Linked DNA regions of Macaca fascicularis. The protein of the gene in region 3 purifies or fractionates together with the protein of the main gene of each other region. This does not show direct contact. Links are inferred from orthologs where the notes say so. Each region holds a gene or a part of one and is shown on either strand. Other genes may lie near its edges.

Region 1 (4,659 bases), on a different chromosome or scaffold from region 3:
TGCTCAGAGCTGGTCCAAGGGGTGCCCCTTTACCAACCTTCAGAGACAGTTTCCTCACAACCACTGAGGATTTTAAATAATCACCAGGAACATTCTGCCTCCATATGAGCCAGCAAAAAAGAGAACTGAGGGCTCATACTCCATACCTCCAAGAGCAACAAGCCTTAAAAATGACATATTCAGCGCACCACTTCCACAAAAGCGTCATTCAATCCATCAGACAGTACTGAAAACCCGCCGCGGAGGTGCTAATGGCATTCCACTCCAAGCGGCTCTTCTGGAAATACTCGTTTCTCAGCCATGAAGACAAATCTAGACAGACAGGGAACAGCTCACCTGTCTGTTCAGCGTGATGGCGCTCGGCTGGCACTTAGTACAGATGCCGTTCGGCCACGGGAGGTGCCCCTCGCACCCTGACTTAATCTTGCAGCTGATGTTCTCCAGGGCAACAAATTTCCCCCTACGTAGAAGAGAAGCAACTTACTTAAACATCACATTGGTGAAAAGTTGAGCAAGAGGCTGGAAGCTACATGTTAAGTATCTTACACTTCCTGAACAGCATCTCAGGAGCTAAGCACGTGGCAGCAGCAGGGAAGATGTGCTAAGGATGTTTCTAATGGAAGCTCTACTTGCAGTTCCAGCACATTCCGAATCCTAGCTTGTCCCATATACTGCAACCACACAGAAACACACAACTACTTTCCTACCAAACTGTGGTGTTTTTTTACTATCTATCACTAACATGCAAGAAAGTTTGCAAGAATATTGCAGAATATCTATTGACGTCACCTGTGCCACTGAGCGGACATGAGGCTGGTACAGGTTTCATTACATTATCAGCAACGTTGACATTAGCCCAGTACTTAAGATATTTGTAAAAAATTATTATTCATGTGAAAAATCTGATTAGGATATATAATTAAGGCAACTTCACTGCTTTAGGCTAAAATAAAAACTACTGTTGAAGATTGTCAATGAGAAAGTCCTGGACCCTACTCTGAACTTCTTCTTTTTCTCCAGCTTTATTGAAACATAATTGACAAAAAAAAAAAAAAAAAATTTTATCTTTAAGGTGGACGTGAGGTTTTGTTTTTCAGATAAAAACTATATACTTACAGTGTAAGAAATGATATTCTGAAACATGTCCACACTGTGGAATGGCTAAATTAAGCTAATTAACATATGCATTACCTCACATACTGATCATTTTTTGTGGTGAGCCATTTTTGGTATCATAGCATCTAGGAAGAAATGACTCGTCACCAAATCTGCATGTTAATGGCAGCCACAAACATGCCCCCACTAGGGACTGTGATCCTTGACCTAGACTGACAAAAGGCTGACCAAGTCTCTTTCACTACAATCAATCTGCACCCACTCCTTAGTCCAGAGAGTTCCATAGCTTTTCCCACTGACAAGCAATAGTGGGTTTCTAGTAGGTTTCTTCTTCTGGTCTAACATTTTTAAAAAGTCATTTTAGGATGTCAGCGGGTTGTCAGAGAAAAGCTACAATCAGGCGAATATGACATCCTTCACAAAATGTTGCTGACTTCAGTTCAGCCACCATCTCCTCTTGTCGCACTGACAGGAATTACAAAATAATAGCTGAAGCCTGTTACTTTCTGGTAGGGTGTACAGAGAGCCAACAGGAGAAAGTCGTACAGGCAAGGACTTGCCACGGCTTAAAAGAAATCAAAATGCTCAGTTCACCCCTCTCTGGCCACTGTTACCACCTGTGCCTACCTGGCTGAGCCTATGGGCAACTACTGTGGTGCCCTGAGGACAAGTGGCTGCAGCCCCTGCTGTGGCTGAAAACCAAGCTGACTCAGAGGCCGGGCTCTAGGGAAAGGATTGCCAGGCACTGAAGTGGGGGAGCTGAGATTATCACAGGGTAGTTGTTTTTCTGAAAAGCAGAGAATGAACTCAGATCACAGATACAAGAGGCCACCATCACAGATGCTATCTTGCCGGGGCGGTGTGTGTGGGGACAGCCTCTGTCCGACACTGCACTGTGGCTACACAACCAGATGCCTGCACAGTCACTGCCTTGCTAGCTCCCTTCTAGAACCAGGTTGGCCAGGTGAGGGGGCTCACACCTGTAATCCAGCACTTTGGGGAAACCAAGGCAGGAGGATCACTTGAGCCAAGGAGTTCCAGACCAGCCTGGGCAACATAGCGAGACCCCATCTCTTAAAAACATGTATGTGGGCCGGGCACGGTGGCTCACGTATGTAATCCCAGCACTGTGGGAGGTCGAGGCGGGCGGATTACGAGGTCAGGAGATCTAGACCATCCTGGCTAACACAGTGAAACCCCGCCTCTACTAAAAATACAAAAAATTAGAGAGGCATGGTGGTAGGCACCTGTAGTCCCAGCTACTCGGGAGGCTAAGGCAGGAGAATGGTGTGAACCCAGGAGGCGGAGCTTGCAGTGAGCCAAGATTGCGCCACTGCACTCCAGCCTGGGCGACAGAGCCAGACTCCGTCTCAAAAAAAAACAAAAAACAAAAAACAAAAAACAAAACATATATGTGTACATAAAATATAAATAAATATAGAACCAGGGTAACATTCAAAGGCGTGTGGCCCCTTCTCATCTTTACTTCTCTCATTCACACGTTCAGTGGCTATAAGCAACAACTGCCAGATACACAAAAAGGAATTTACGCACAACCAGGTCATAGCAAGCTGCTTACTTGTCAGCCCCTCCAGTCAGCTTCCGGATGTAGGCATGGAAGGACATGTGCTTCACAGGAGGCTCGAGATGGTTTAGATAGTCCTCATCGAATGGCTGCCAAGACACAGAGTAAGCAAGTGCAGTCACACCTGCTGGGTGCTCCAGGCGCTGAGCCTCCGTTGTGCACAGAGGCCAGGCAGCATGGCCTCGGCAAGTCAAGGCCCACAGCCAAAGCAGGTACTGGGGTCTCCCTTACCACTCTAGGTCAGAACCAAGTTTTTCTTTTTTAAATTAATTGATTTTCGTTATTGTTGTTTTTGTGTGTTTTGTTTGTTTATTTGAGACAGAGTCTCACTCTGTCGCCCAGGCTGGAGTACAATGGCACAGCGGCACAATCTCTGCTCACTGCAACCTCCACCTCTGAGTTCAAGCGATTCTTCTGACTCTGCCTCCCAAGTAGCTGGGACTATAGGCACGCGCCACCACGCCTGGCTAATTTTTGTATTTTTAGTAGAGACGGGGTTTCAGCATATTGGCCAGGCTGGTCTCAAACTCCTGACCTCGTGATCCAACCGCCCCGCCCCCCAAAGTGCTAGGATTACAGCGTGAGCCACTGAGTCCGGCCAATTTAATTGTTTTAGAGATGGGGTCTCACGCTGTTGCCCAGGCTGGAGTACAGTGGTACAATCACGGCTCACTGCAACCTTGACCTCCCAGCCTCAAGTGATTCTCTTGCCTCAGCTTCCCGAGTAGCTGGGACTACAGGCGTGAACCATCACACCCAGCTAATTTTTAAAATTTTTTGTAGAGACAGGGTATACAAAAAAAGAGTTGCCCAGGCTCAACAACTCCTAGGTTCAAGTGATCCTCTCACCCTGGCCTCCCAAAGTGTTGGGACTACAGGTGTGAACAGCACATAGCCAGAAGCAAGTTTATGGGTGGGCCATAACTTTGTGGGCCAGTTATCTTTTCAAGATTAAAATGAATCTCTATTAAAAACAAAACATTCTAAGTCAAATGAGTTTCAGGAAAATTTTGCAAAAAGAAATGCCACAAGATGAGGCAAGAGATGCCTCATGAAGAAAACCAGGTTGGCCTTCCTGCTGTAAATCCAGCATTAACAGCTCCAGTCAGCATCATTACGGTGACTCTCAATCTCACCAGGACAAACCAGTACAAGAGATGTGAGATTCAAGGCAAAGTAAATCGAAACAACGATAAGCACGGAAGCCGACAGACTCAGCTTTGTGTCAGATCTGAAAAGGATTGTCCAGGGAGTCTGCTGTAAATGCTGCCCCTTTATCACAGCCACACAAATGCTTCAGCCATTCATAATCAAGCGAGAAGGTCACTCCCATAAATAAAGGCTCGTCTTGTGTGCAGCTTGCACTAGGGGGAATATGAGGCCCAGGGCAATAAATAGATAAGTTCTTTGAACCACTACAACCAAGTGCATGGACTCAGGGAAAGCACTTAAGACAGCTGTCTACCCGCAGCCCCCCACACCGGCCCAGAACTTACTCCGCAGAGACTCTCACCTCTAGAGGGACGCAGTGCACGCATTTCCCCAACGGGCCGTGGCGGCATCTGAGGAGAGTAACAAGGCAGAAAAAGGCAGAGCAGTGAGGATGTCTGTGTTCCACTGCTGCCATCTCACACGTACGTCCTACTTTAACAGTGTTTCCGTGCCCACATGGAGTTATATTCCAGATGGCACATGGATGAACGTTTATATTTTAATTGTTGTTTTGTTTTGTTTAAAGACAGGCTCTCACTCTATCACCCAGGCTGGAGTGCAGTGGTGATCATGACTCACTGCAGCCTTGAATTCCTGGGCTCAAGCACTCCCACCTCAGCCTCCCGAGTATCTGGGACTCCAGGTGTGTAGCACCACACCCAGCAGTTTACTATTTATGTTGATATGAATGAGAAAAAACAGACCTGCACATCAAACCTGTGACTTCATGAGGATCAACTGCTTAA
Region 2 (4,659 bases), on a different chromosome or scaffold from region 3:
GCCCAGGTAACTTTTGTATTTTTGGTAGAGACAGGGTTTTGCCATGTTTCCTAGGCTGGTCTCGAACTACTGAGCTCAAACAATCTACCTGCCTTGGCCTCCCAAAGTGCTACTATTACAGGCGTGAGCCACCACACCTGGCCAACTCTACTTTTAGAAATTAAAAACTAAGCTTTTTTTTTTCTTTTTTGTAGGTTTCAAAAAGAGCACATAGCAACTGGGTGCAGTGGTGCACACCTGTTGTCCCAGCTGCTCAGGAGGCTGAGGCGGGAGGATCGTTTGAGCCCAGGAGTTAGAGTCCAGCCTGGGCAACATAGTGAGATCCTATCTCTTAAAAAAAAGAAAAAGGAAAAAAGGAGTGCATATTATATTCAAAATGTCTACTATGCAGGAAAATTTATTGAATAACGCAGGAGAAATAAGAACCTGCTACCACTTATCGGTGTGCAAGCAAGCTGAAATGATGTAAAAATAAATTGAAATGGAATTGCACTCCAAAATTTGTACTTAAAGGAATATTTTAGGTGTATTCATTTAAAGTAGTAATAATCTTTTATCGTTAATACTGATTATCCAGTGAATCTTCATATATAAGCATACATATTTTGTCCTTTTAATATAGTATTTGTATATCCCACTGTGTGAATATAAAAATATACATTTAACCGGATGAATTGTTTCCTGTTACTGCATACAATGCTGCAATGAACATCTTTATACGCTTGTGAGTGAATTTCTAGGACAGTACCAGATTAAAGACTTATATTACCTTTAATTTGTTGATCATGGCTTCTTCAGAGTCCATAGACATGGATAACCCATGAATTAAACGTTTTGCCAGCATTCTTGCGTAGAACTGCATTTAAAAATATTTTAAAAGATCACTTCCTTTCTAATGATTTAGCATTCAGAAATAAAGTTGACCAAAACACAAATGAAACTTTTTTGTTCACAGCATACCTTTTGAAAGACATCCTTGTCATCAATGTATTTGAACACCGTGATGAAGCTCGTGAGCCTGTCTTCCACTTCATTCTCTGTCATCCCTTTCGCCGACTTCTTCAGTAAGTTGTCACAGTACTTAGCAAGCTCATGTAGAAATTGATAATAAATCTTACAAAGGGTGCTTCTGTATATATCATGCCTCAAAGGAGGCAAAGTGGTGATACAAGATAAGATCAGTGGACAGAGTTTTTACTGTTTTTTTAAGAGACTGGGTCTTGCTCTGTCGCCCAGGCTGGATTGCAATGGACAACATCATAGCTCACTGCAGCCTCAAACTCCTAGGCTCAAAGGATCCTCCTGCCTCAGCCTCCCAAGTAGTTGGGACTACAGGCATGCACAACCACACCAGGCTTCTAAAGCTTTATGTAATAATCATAAGTGTAACCTAAATAAAATACACATCATAAGGTATATTTTTTAAAAGAACAAGTCAAATATCGAATTATCACTTATTGACCAATAAAGCAACTGATATGGGTAATATAAATTTTTAAAAGAACACCTGGGTGAGTTTCGAGCGGTTTTATAATTTTTGACATTGAATAAGTACTTTAAAAAAAGTTACAAAAACCTTGTAAGCAAGTTTCCTTCAAAGGTTACCCAAACTTTATCATCAGACTTCCTTTAGATTTCAGATATAACAATCTACATGAAAAGTATTAAAATTATTTCAAAATAGACATACATTAAAACCCAAACTTTGTAAAATGATTATTTTTTAAGAAAAGACACACGGTATGTTGCATTCCTTACATAAATGCCAAACTATGTACAATGTAGATAATTTTCCTTTTGTTTTTCTGAAAAATGCTACAAAAACCAAATTAATTTGATTTTCTCAGTTTTCATGTTCTAATACTGACTTTTCATAAGATTACTTTTCAGCAAACACCAAACTTACCAGTTCAGGTGCTTTGCAAACAGACTTAGGTTCTCTGTAATTTACAACCGACGTAAGGGCCTACATAAAAAACAGGCCATAATTAACCACCAGCCATAGGGAAAAAGTACAGCTAGTTCAATACAAGCCATAATCCATACATCCAAAATTACCCTGCCACATACAACACAGCATTGCCAGTAGTTTGTTAATATTTTCGCACCTAACACAGTGGACTCCTCTGATTTTATTCTCTAATTACAAAATATCTATACATCCTGTTGCTATTGCAAGATACTCTGTAACTCATTACCAAAATTTGAACAGATAAAATAACACTACTTAAAAAAAAAAAACTTACAATCTTGTAAGTAACTTTCCTTTAAAGTATACAAAAGTTCACGTAAAACATATCTATTCTCTTTTCAAATATTATTCAATGTAGCCTAAGTATTATGGCCAAAGAAAAAAATCAGTACTAAAAATTGTAAAATTATGCATGTCTATCCAGAAGATATCAGATTAAAAATTCCCCTTATATAGCATAATCATGGGAAATTCTACAAGCATTCAATTTACTATTCAGTTAATAATTTAAAAGTTATATTATTTCCATTTTGAATTTCATATTTAATCTCCATGTCTAGGTCAGAAATCTCATACTAGGAGTCTAATCCTGAAACTACCTAAAGAATGACAGAGCTTTATGTACATATATAGTATATACGTATTTAAAACTTACCTTATCCAACGCACTCATGAAGTGCTGATCACCATTCAAAACAGTATTGATAAGCTGAACAAATTTACCATGCACTTCCAAAACTGACTCCACAAATAGTGTTGGCATCTAAAAACATGAAATATAAGTACAAAACCACATTTTAAAAGGTTCAAGTATAAACTACTAGGTTTATTAGACTTGAGTAAATTTTTCCTCAAGGAAATTATGTTTTACACATGCACACTTCTCAGAAAGTGGTTTTAACAATTTAAAACTTTGGTGTTGAAAATAGCTTGTCGGCCGGGCGCGGTGGCTCAACCCTGTAATTCCAGCACTTTGGGAGGCCGAGACGGGTGGATCACGAGGTCAGGAGATCGAGACCATCCTGGCTAACACGGTGAAACCCCGTCTCTACTAAAAAAAAATACAAAAAAACTAGCCGGGCGAAGTGGCGGGCACCTGTAGTCCCAGTTACTCGGGAGGCTGAGGCAGGAGAATGGCGTAAACCCGGGAGGCGGAGCTTGCAGTGAGCTGAGATCCGGCCACTGCACTCCAACCTGGGCAATACAGGGAGACTCCGTCTCAAAAAAAAAAAAAAAAAAAAAAAAGAAAGAAAATAGCTTGTCAGCCGGGCATGGTGGCTCACGCCTATAATCCCAGCACTTTGGGAGGCCGAGGCAGGGGGATTGCCTGAGGTCAGGAGTTCGAGACTAGTGTGGCCAACATGGTGAAACCCTGTCTCTACTAAAAATACAAAAAAATTAGCCAGGCGTGGTGGCATGCGCCTGTAATCCCAGCTACTCGGGAAGCTGAGGCAGGGGAATTACTTGAACCAGGGAGGTGGAGGTTGCAGTGAGCAGAGATCGCACCACTGCATTCCAGCTTGGGCGACAGAGCAAGACTCCGTCTCAGAAAAAACAAACAAACAAAAAAACAACAAAAAAGAAAGAAAATAGCTTGTCATTCAACACAACAAGCTAATGTCATAGACTGTCTAGTACCTGCCAGAAGAACCCACCAAAAGCATACTTTTCTACTGTGTTGGAATAACTTCAGGATAACAAGACCTGAACTACCAGGTCTATCACTTTCATAGAGGCTTATATAAGCAAAGACTGCCTGCAAAGTCACTGAAGGCTGAGAGAGAGGAGAGTTAAAAAGCCAGTAACCCTGAGAACAGAGACCCCTTGAACTCAGCAAGACAATCCCTCACATCTCAGAGAGAAGAAATACCTAATAGTGCAAAAGTGAGTTTTCCCTCTTAATGGAGATAACCATGAAGAAATTACTACCTAAGACTTAACTAAGTCAGCTGGATTTGAGTCTACTACAAATGTATTCACTTATGTTTCCATCTCCCAGCCTTGACACAAAATTCTATGCTTCTATGCCCCATGTCATTGGACATGGAATCTATAAACGTAATAACATAAACTAGTAAGTTTGACAAATAATACAGAGTAATAAATCTGCATAATACAAACTAATAGTTCTACAAAAATAGAAAACTGTGGTAAAAGGAATTTGAAGAAATTAAAAAATAGTAAACTTACACGATTGTGGCAGAACATAAAAACTAAAAATTATTACTTGCCAAAGACCAATCTGTCGCTAAGGTAACAGCCTCTAAAAAGTGCTCCTGAACAGTGACGGCTACACACATACACACAGATACTATCTTTTTTTTTTTTTTTTTGAGACGGAGTCTTGTGCTGTCACCCAGGCTGGAGTGCAGTGGTGTGATCTTGGCTCACTGTAAGCTCCGCCTCCCGGGTTCACGCCATTCTCCCGCCTCAGCCGCCTGAGTAGCTGGGACTACAGGCACCCGCCAACATGCCCGGCTAATTTTTTGTATTTTTAGTAGAGATGGGGTTTCACGGTGTTAGCCAGGATGGTCTCCATCTCCTGACCTCGTGATCCGCCCGCCTCGGCCTCCCAAAGTGCTGGGATTACAGGCGTGACAGATACTACCTTACAGATTAAGTCAAACAGCTCTACTTAAGAAGAGACAGTAACAGTTGAAGTTACGTCTCTCTTGCTCATCATCAAC
Region 3 (5,380 bases):
GAGCCATGATCAGACCACTGCACTTCAGTCTGTGTGGCAGTGTAAGACCCAATTCATCTCAAAACAACAACAACAAAAAAAGTTATTATGATATTGTCTTTTTAATAATCTCTTTTTTTAATCAGCCATTACTGAACCAGGCACACTGATGTGCACCTGTAGCCCCAGTTACTGGGAGGGCTGAGGCAAGAGGATGGCTGAGCCCAGAAGTTGGAAAACAGCCTGGGCAACAAAGAGAGGAGACCTCCATCTCTTAAAAAAAAAAAAAAAAAAAAAAAAAAAATCAAAACTCAGTCATTATGTCATACTCACTGAATCAGAGAGAGATCTGTTCTATTCAGTAAGAAATAAGACTTTTCTAAAATCTTTCAATTTTCCGTTCTATTTCTAAATGCCAAAGAAAAGATAAGACTCACATTTATTTTAATTTTTTTCTTTTTCTTTTTTTCCCTCCTGCCTAAGGAATAAGGACTCACATTTTTGATGATGCATTTGTTTTTACAAGAATGTTGAGCTTCCAAGTAAAACCTCTGTGAAATCAGAGCATAAGTGATTAAGGTCACTATAATTCATCCAGCAATTAATAAATGTAAAATACCTTTTAATCATAAACACTATGATTTAAACATATGTGGAGAGAACTCCAAAAAAATTCTTTTTAAGGCATGTAAAAAAGGCAAAAAGAAACCAATCATGTGTTTCTAATGGTTAATCACTAACTTGTAAGAAGAATCCCAAAAATTATCAATAGAAATTCACAGTATTTCAGGAACACTCTGAGGTATATTCCCTCTGTAGATTTTCAGACATCATTGTCTACTGATGGAGGGCCTCCAACTTGATCCAGAAATCAAGCTGTGTAGACTAACAGAAACAGAATTAAAGCAATTAAGTGAGTCAATTCACCTCATCACACTTTGGTTTTTTTGTGCACCTAATAAAAATGTTGCAACAGAAGTAGTAAAGTGGCGTTAAACCAATCAGAGTTTGGGAAGACTAGTAATTAGCATAAGAAACTGAAAATTAATTAAGTGGCTTTTAGGGCCAGGCACGGTGGCTTACGCCTGTAATCCTAGCACTTTGGGAGGCTGAGGTGAGTGGATCATTTGAGGACAGGAGTTCAAGACCGGCCAGGCCAACATGATGAAACCCCGTCTTTACTAAAAATACAAAAATTAGCCGGGCCTCGTGGCAGGCGCCTGTAGTCCCAGCTACTAGGGAGGCTGAGACAGGAGAATCGCTTGAACCCGGGAGGTAGAGGTTGCAGTGAGCCGAGATCGTACCACTGCACTCCAGCCTGGGCAACAGAGCGAGACTCTGTCTCAAAATAATAATAATAATGTGGCTTTTTTTCCTTCTTTTTGTTTTTTGAGAAATGGTCTTGCTCTCCTGCCAGGGATGGAGTGCAGTGGCATGATCAACTCACTGCAGCCTTTAACTCCTAGGCTCAAGCAATCCTCCCACCTCAGCCTCCCCAGTAGCTGGGACTACATGTCGGTGCCACTACATCCAGCTCACTTTTTTTTTCTGTATAGATGGGGCCTCACTATGTTTTGCCCAGGATGGTTTCTAACTCCTTGCCTCACGTGAATCTCCAGCCTCCGTCTCCCAAACTGCCGGGATTACAGGTGTGAGACACCGCGCCAGGCCCAAGTGGCATCATAAACTATCTCTAGGAAATCTAAAGAAAGGATTAATAGTGATATTCACTTCTCTATCAGATTCACTGCGAAAATTTTTCTATATAAGCATAACGCATCAACACTAACTTATATACACAATAATCTTCTCCACAGCAATGATTTGTTAGACATTACGAAATCCTTTATATATTTAATAATTCAATCCTTTATATCTTCAATAATCCAATCACAAAGTTTAAAAATATTAAGAGAAGTTATCATGTAACTCCTCACCCCAATTTCATTACAAATTTTACTTTACTAACTTTGACCTGATGTTCCATGCCCACAAGCTAGATAACAATGCGTCAAATATCTCGTTATCACTGCAAAGCAAAAAAATAAAGCTAGCTTTAATATAAAACTTTAACTAGTATACAGCCTGTAGTAGTTAAAACAATATAAAATTTTACTTAACCAGATACTCCACGTTAAACTCTAGGAACATTAACATGGAAACATTCTCCGCATCTAACACATTCCGAGATAAAGTACAGATCCGTTGAGAAAGGGAACTAACATTCTGACCTCCTTCCAAAATGACAAACTAGAACGGCAAAATTACACTCAGGCACACTGGAGTACTCTTCCCTCAAATCCCTCCACAGAGCACTTCATCATTTGCTCCGCCCTCTAATAACTCATGCAAGAAAAGTTCAGCACCATCAGAGAGAAACAAGACAGAATTCAGAGAATGGCTTTAGGGCCTTTCCTCCAGGCGGTAAGAGGATCTGCGTGTGCCCTTCGCAGGGGTCCAAAGGGAGAGAACAACCTAGGCCTAGGGTTTCGGGGATACTGACACCCAGAAACAGATTTTCTCTCAAAGAAGTTTCTGCCGCCATCCCTATCTTATCAGCAGGAGGCCCCGGCGCCATCGTCTCCGTCTTTATGATTTTATTATGGGGAGGTGGGAAACGCCACCCAGGATTCCTCCAGGCCTCCCCGATTCAGCTTCGGGGTCCCCCTCATTCTTCCCTCTAAGCCGCAGTCCCCGGGTCCTCCTCGGCCCCCCCCTTCTGGCGGCCTATCCCCCGGGAAGTGTACGGGCACGGCCGAACCCACCGGCCTCGCCGTGAAGGCGGGAGGGCCCGAACCCGCCAGGGCCACGGCGATGGCTCCGAGGGGCCCGGAAAGGGGAAGGGCAGGCCGGGGACCGGGGCAGGATGACCTGGCCGGGGAAGAAAGGAAAACGGAGGTGAGGAGACGCACCGCCCCGCAGGGCTGCACCGAGAAGGGAGATGATGAAGGAGGAGGAGGAGGGCGGTGGCCCGGGTGCGGCCCCCCACTCCTCCCGCCCCCGGGTCCCCGGGCCGGCGGGGGCGGCGGACTCGGCCCATTCCCAGGTCTGGGCTGGCGGGGGGCTGGGGGATCTCCCTCCACACTACTAGGAGACAGAGAACGAGGGTCTCGGGAGCGCGGGGGCTGTCTCCCGCCTGAACCCGGAGACCCCGACGCCGTCGTCGCCTCTTCCTCAGGAGGGAGGACGGGAGCTGTGGGTAAAGCCCGAAGGAGGAATGCCTGAAGGTGAGGGGAAGCCCGGGGCAGACCCGCCGCCCGCTCCGGACCCCCCCCTCCACCTTCCGGTAACCGCGTCTCTTACCGGTGATGGCGGTGAACTGTTGAATTAACCCCTTCAGCGCCGAGGACGCCGCGGAGCCCCCGTGGGCAGCCATCTTACCGCCGCCGCCGCCGCCGCCGAACAACAACACAGACACACACGGACCGCCCTCCCCCACCTCGCCGCGCGGTGTGCGCAGGCGCATTGACCGCCCCTCAAGCCCCGCCCCCAAGCCCCGCCCCTCCCGGCCCCCTCCAGTGGTCTGCGCAGGCGCACTTGCCTACCGGGCCGGAGCTCTACCCGCTCTCCGGTTGGCTGCTCGGTTGCTGCCTGCCCGGTGCATCGTTTTTGCCACTGCTGGTGCTTTCCTCTCCGGGCTCCAAGGCTAGTCTCGCAGGCGCAGTGTCGATTCCTACATTCCGAAGGAAGCTTCCGTCTTGGCAGATATTTCGCATTTCAGCTTCGCGAGCTTTATTGACAGGGCCAACTCTGGTAACGGTATTTTTTTCTGCTTCGCAGTTGCTCCGCGCTCTGTTAGGTCCCATCAAAATACAAACCCTGCCTCCTCGCTTTGAAGCGACTCTCCCCGACCCCGCCCCCCAGCCTCTAGACTAATGGCTCAGCTCACCGACTGTGGCGAGTGAAATTCCAGAACCCTTCATGCCAAAGAAAGCACCTAGCGCAGGGTTGACACCCAGTGGGTTTTCATCAGCGATTATTTAGTCTGCTTTCCTTAAATAAATCGGCCATCACGTCTCCCGTTAGCGTCTTAGTGAGACCCCAAGAGGTGTCATGTGTATAAAAAGAAACTCTGTATATGCAATAGAGTTGAGAAGACATATAGAAAGGAGACTGGAAAAGTGTGCTCAAAACGCTGGTAATGGTTACCTTCAGAGAGGAGAACGATGGGCACGATGGTCAAAGCAGACTTTACTTCGAGTTTCTTATTTATCTTTTTATTTTTAAACAAACATTACTGGCCGGGCGCGGTGGCTCATAACTGTAATCCCAGCACTTTGGAAGGCCGAGGTGGGAGAATCGCTTGAGGCAAGGAGTTCGAGACCAGACTGGGAAATATATCAAGAATCCATCTCAAAAAAAAAAAATTCGTGTGTTACTTGAATAATTTTATTTTGTAAAACAGTTACATGAGTGGGGTGCGCTCAAATCTAATGATTCCCCACCTTGCCCATAAAGTTAAAAGAGATTCCGTGCAGCCCGGCGCGGTGGCTCACACCTGTAATCCCAGCACTTTGGGAGGCCGAGGTGGGCGGATCATGAGGTCAGGAGATCGAGACCATCCTGGCTAACACGGTGAAACCCCGTCTCTACTAAAAATACAAAAAAATTAGCCGGGCGAGGTGGCGGGCACCTGTAGTCCCAGCTGCTGGGGAGGCTGAGGCAGGAGAATGACGTCAACCCGGGAGGTGGAGCTTGCAGTGAGCCGAGATTGCACCACTGCACTCCAGCCTGGGCGACTGAGCAAGACTCCGTCTCAAAAAAAAAAAGGAGATTCCGTGCGATTCTGTTTGTTTTAGCCTCCTACCTTCCAGCCTCCACCCACATATTTTGCATCTTCAGAGGAAAATGGCCCAATAAAAGATGGGATGAGCTATCTGAAGAATTGACACATCTTAAGAGTAAATATGCTATTGGGGAGAATTTAAATAGCCATGTTAAATCAAGGGGTATAGTTTTTTGTTTTGTTTTGTTTTGTTTGACAGGGAGTCTCGCTCTGTTGCCCAGGCTGGAGTGCAGTGGCGCGATCTCAGCTCACTGCAACCTCCGTCTCCCCAGTTCAAGCGATTCTCCTGCCTCAGCCTCCCAAGTAACTGGGATTACAGGCACGAACCACCACGCCAGACTAATTTTTCTATTTTTAGTAGAGACGATGTTGACCAGGCTAGTCTCAAACTGCTGACCTCAAGTGATCCGCCTGCCTCAGCCTCCCAAAGTGTTGGGATTACAGGCATGAACCATCACGCCCGGCCGGGCTATAGTTTCAGGAAGATATGATTACTGTAAAAGAAAGCAGACTCCAGTAATCCCAGCACTTTGGGAAGCCGAGGCGGGCGGATCACCTGAAGTCAGGAGTTCGAGACCAGCCTGGCCAACATGGCGAAACCCCATCTCTACTGAA

What was found. Proteins that work in one complex are often made in the same cells at the same time.
Region 1: the proteins of UBXN7 (region 3) and NPLOC4 purify together in Homo sapiens (affinity purification with mass spectrometry; 3 studies listed by BioGRID and IntAct, with this or other methods). This does not show direct contact. The link is inferred for Macaca fascicularis from reciprocal best matches to the Homo sapiens genes UBXN7 and NPLOC4.
Region 2: the proteins of UBXN7 (region 3) and CUL2 purify together in Homo sapiens (affinity purification with mass spectrometry; 6 studies listed by BioGRID and IntAct, with this or other methods). This does not show direct contact. The link is inferred for Macaca fascicularis from reciprocal best matches to the Homo sapiens genes UBXN7 and CUL2.

The regions. Positions count from the first base shown.
Region 1 is NC_088390.1:88,032,224-88,036,882, forward strand, and holds part of NPLOC4 (nuclear protein localization protein 4 homolog), read right to left. Parts: intron 4,264-4,659; coding exon 4,215-4,263; intron 2,791-4,214; coding exon 2,696-2,790; intron 461-2,695; coding exon 337-460; intron 1-336. UniProt on the Homo sapiens protein: The ternary complex containing UFD1, VCP and NPLOC4 binds ubiquitinated proteins and is necessary for the export of misfolded proteins from the ER to the cytoplasm, where they are degraded by the proteasome.
Region 2 is NC_088383.1:35,798,585-35,803,243, forward strand, and holds part of CUL2 (cullin-2), read right to left. Parts: intron 2,736-4,659; coding exon 2,628-2,735; intron 1,967-2,627; coding exon 1,907-1,966; intron 1,090-1,906; coding exon 961-1,089; intron 857-960; coding exon 770-856; intron 1-769.
Region 3 is NC_088376.1:1,838,922-1,844,301, forward strand, and holds the start of UBXN7 (UBX domain-containing protein 7), read right to left. Parts: upstream 3,356-5,380; coding exon 3,283-3,355; intron 3,207-3,282; coding exon of another isoform or gene 3,158-3,206; intron 2,404-3,157; coding exon of another isoform or gene 2,377-2,403; exon of another isoform or gene 2,330-2,376; intron 865-2,329; exon of another isoform or gene 721-864; intron 1-720. Other genes in the region: uncharacterized protein, read left to right, coding at 2,377-2,403, 3,158-3,206, 3,320-3,855. UniProt on the Homo sapiens protein: Ubiquitin-binding adapter that links a subset of NEDD8-associated cullin ring ligases (CRLs) to the segregase VCP/p97, to regulate turnover of their ubiquitination substrates.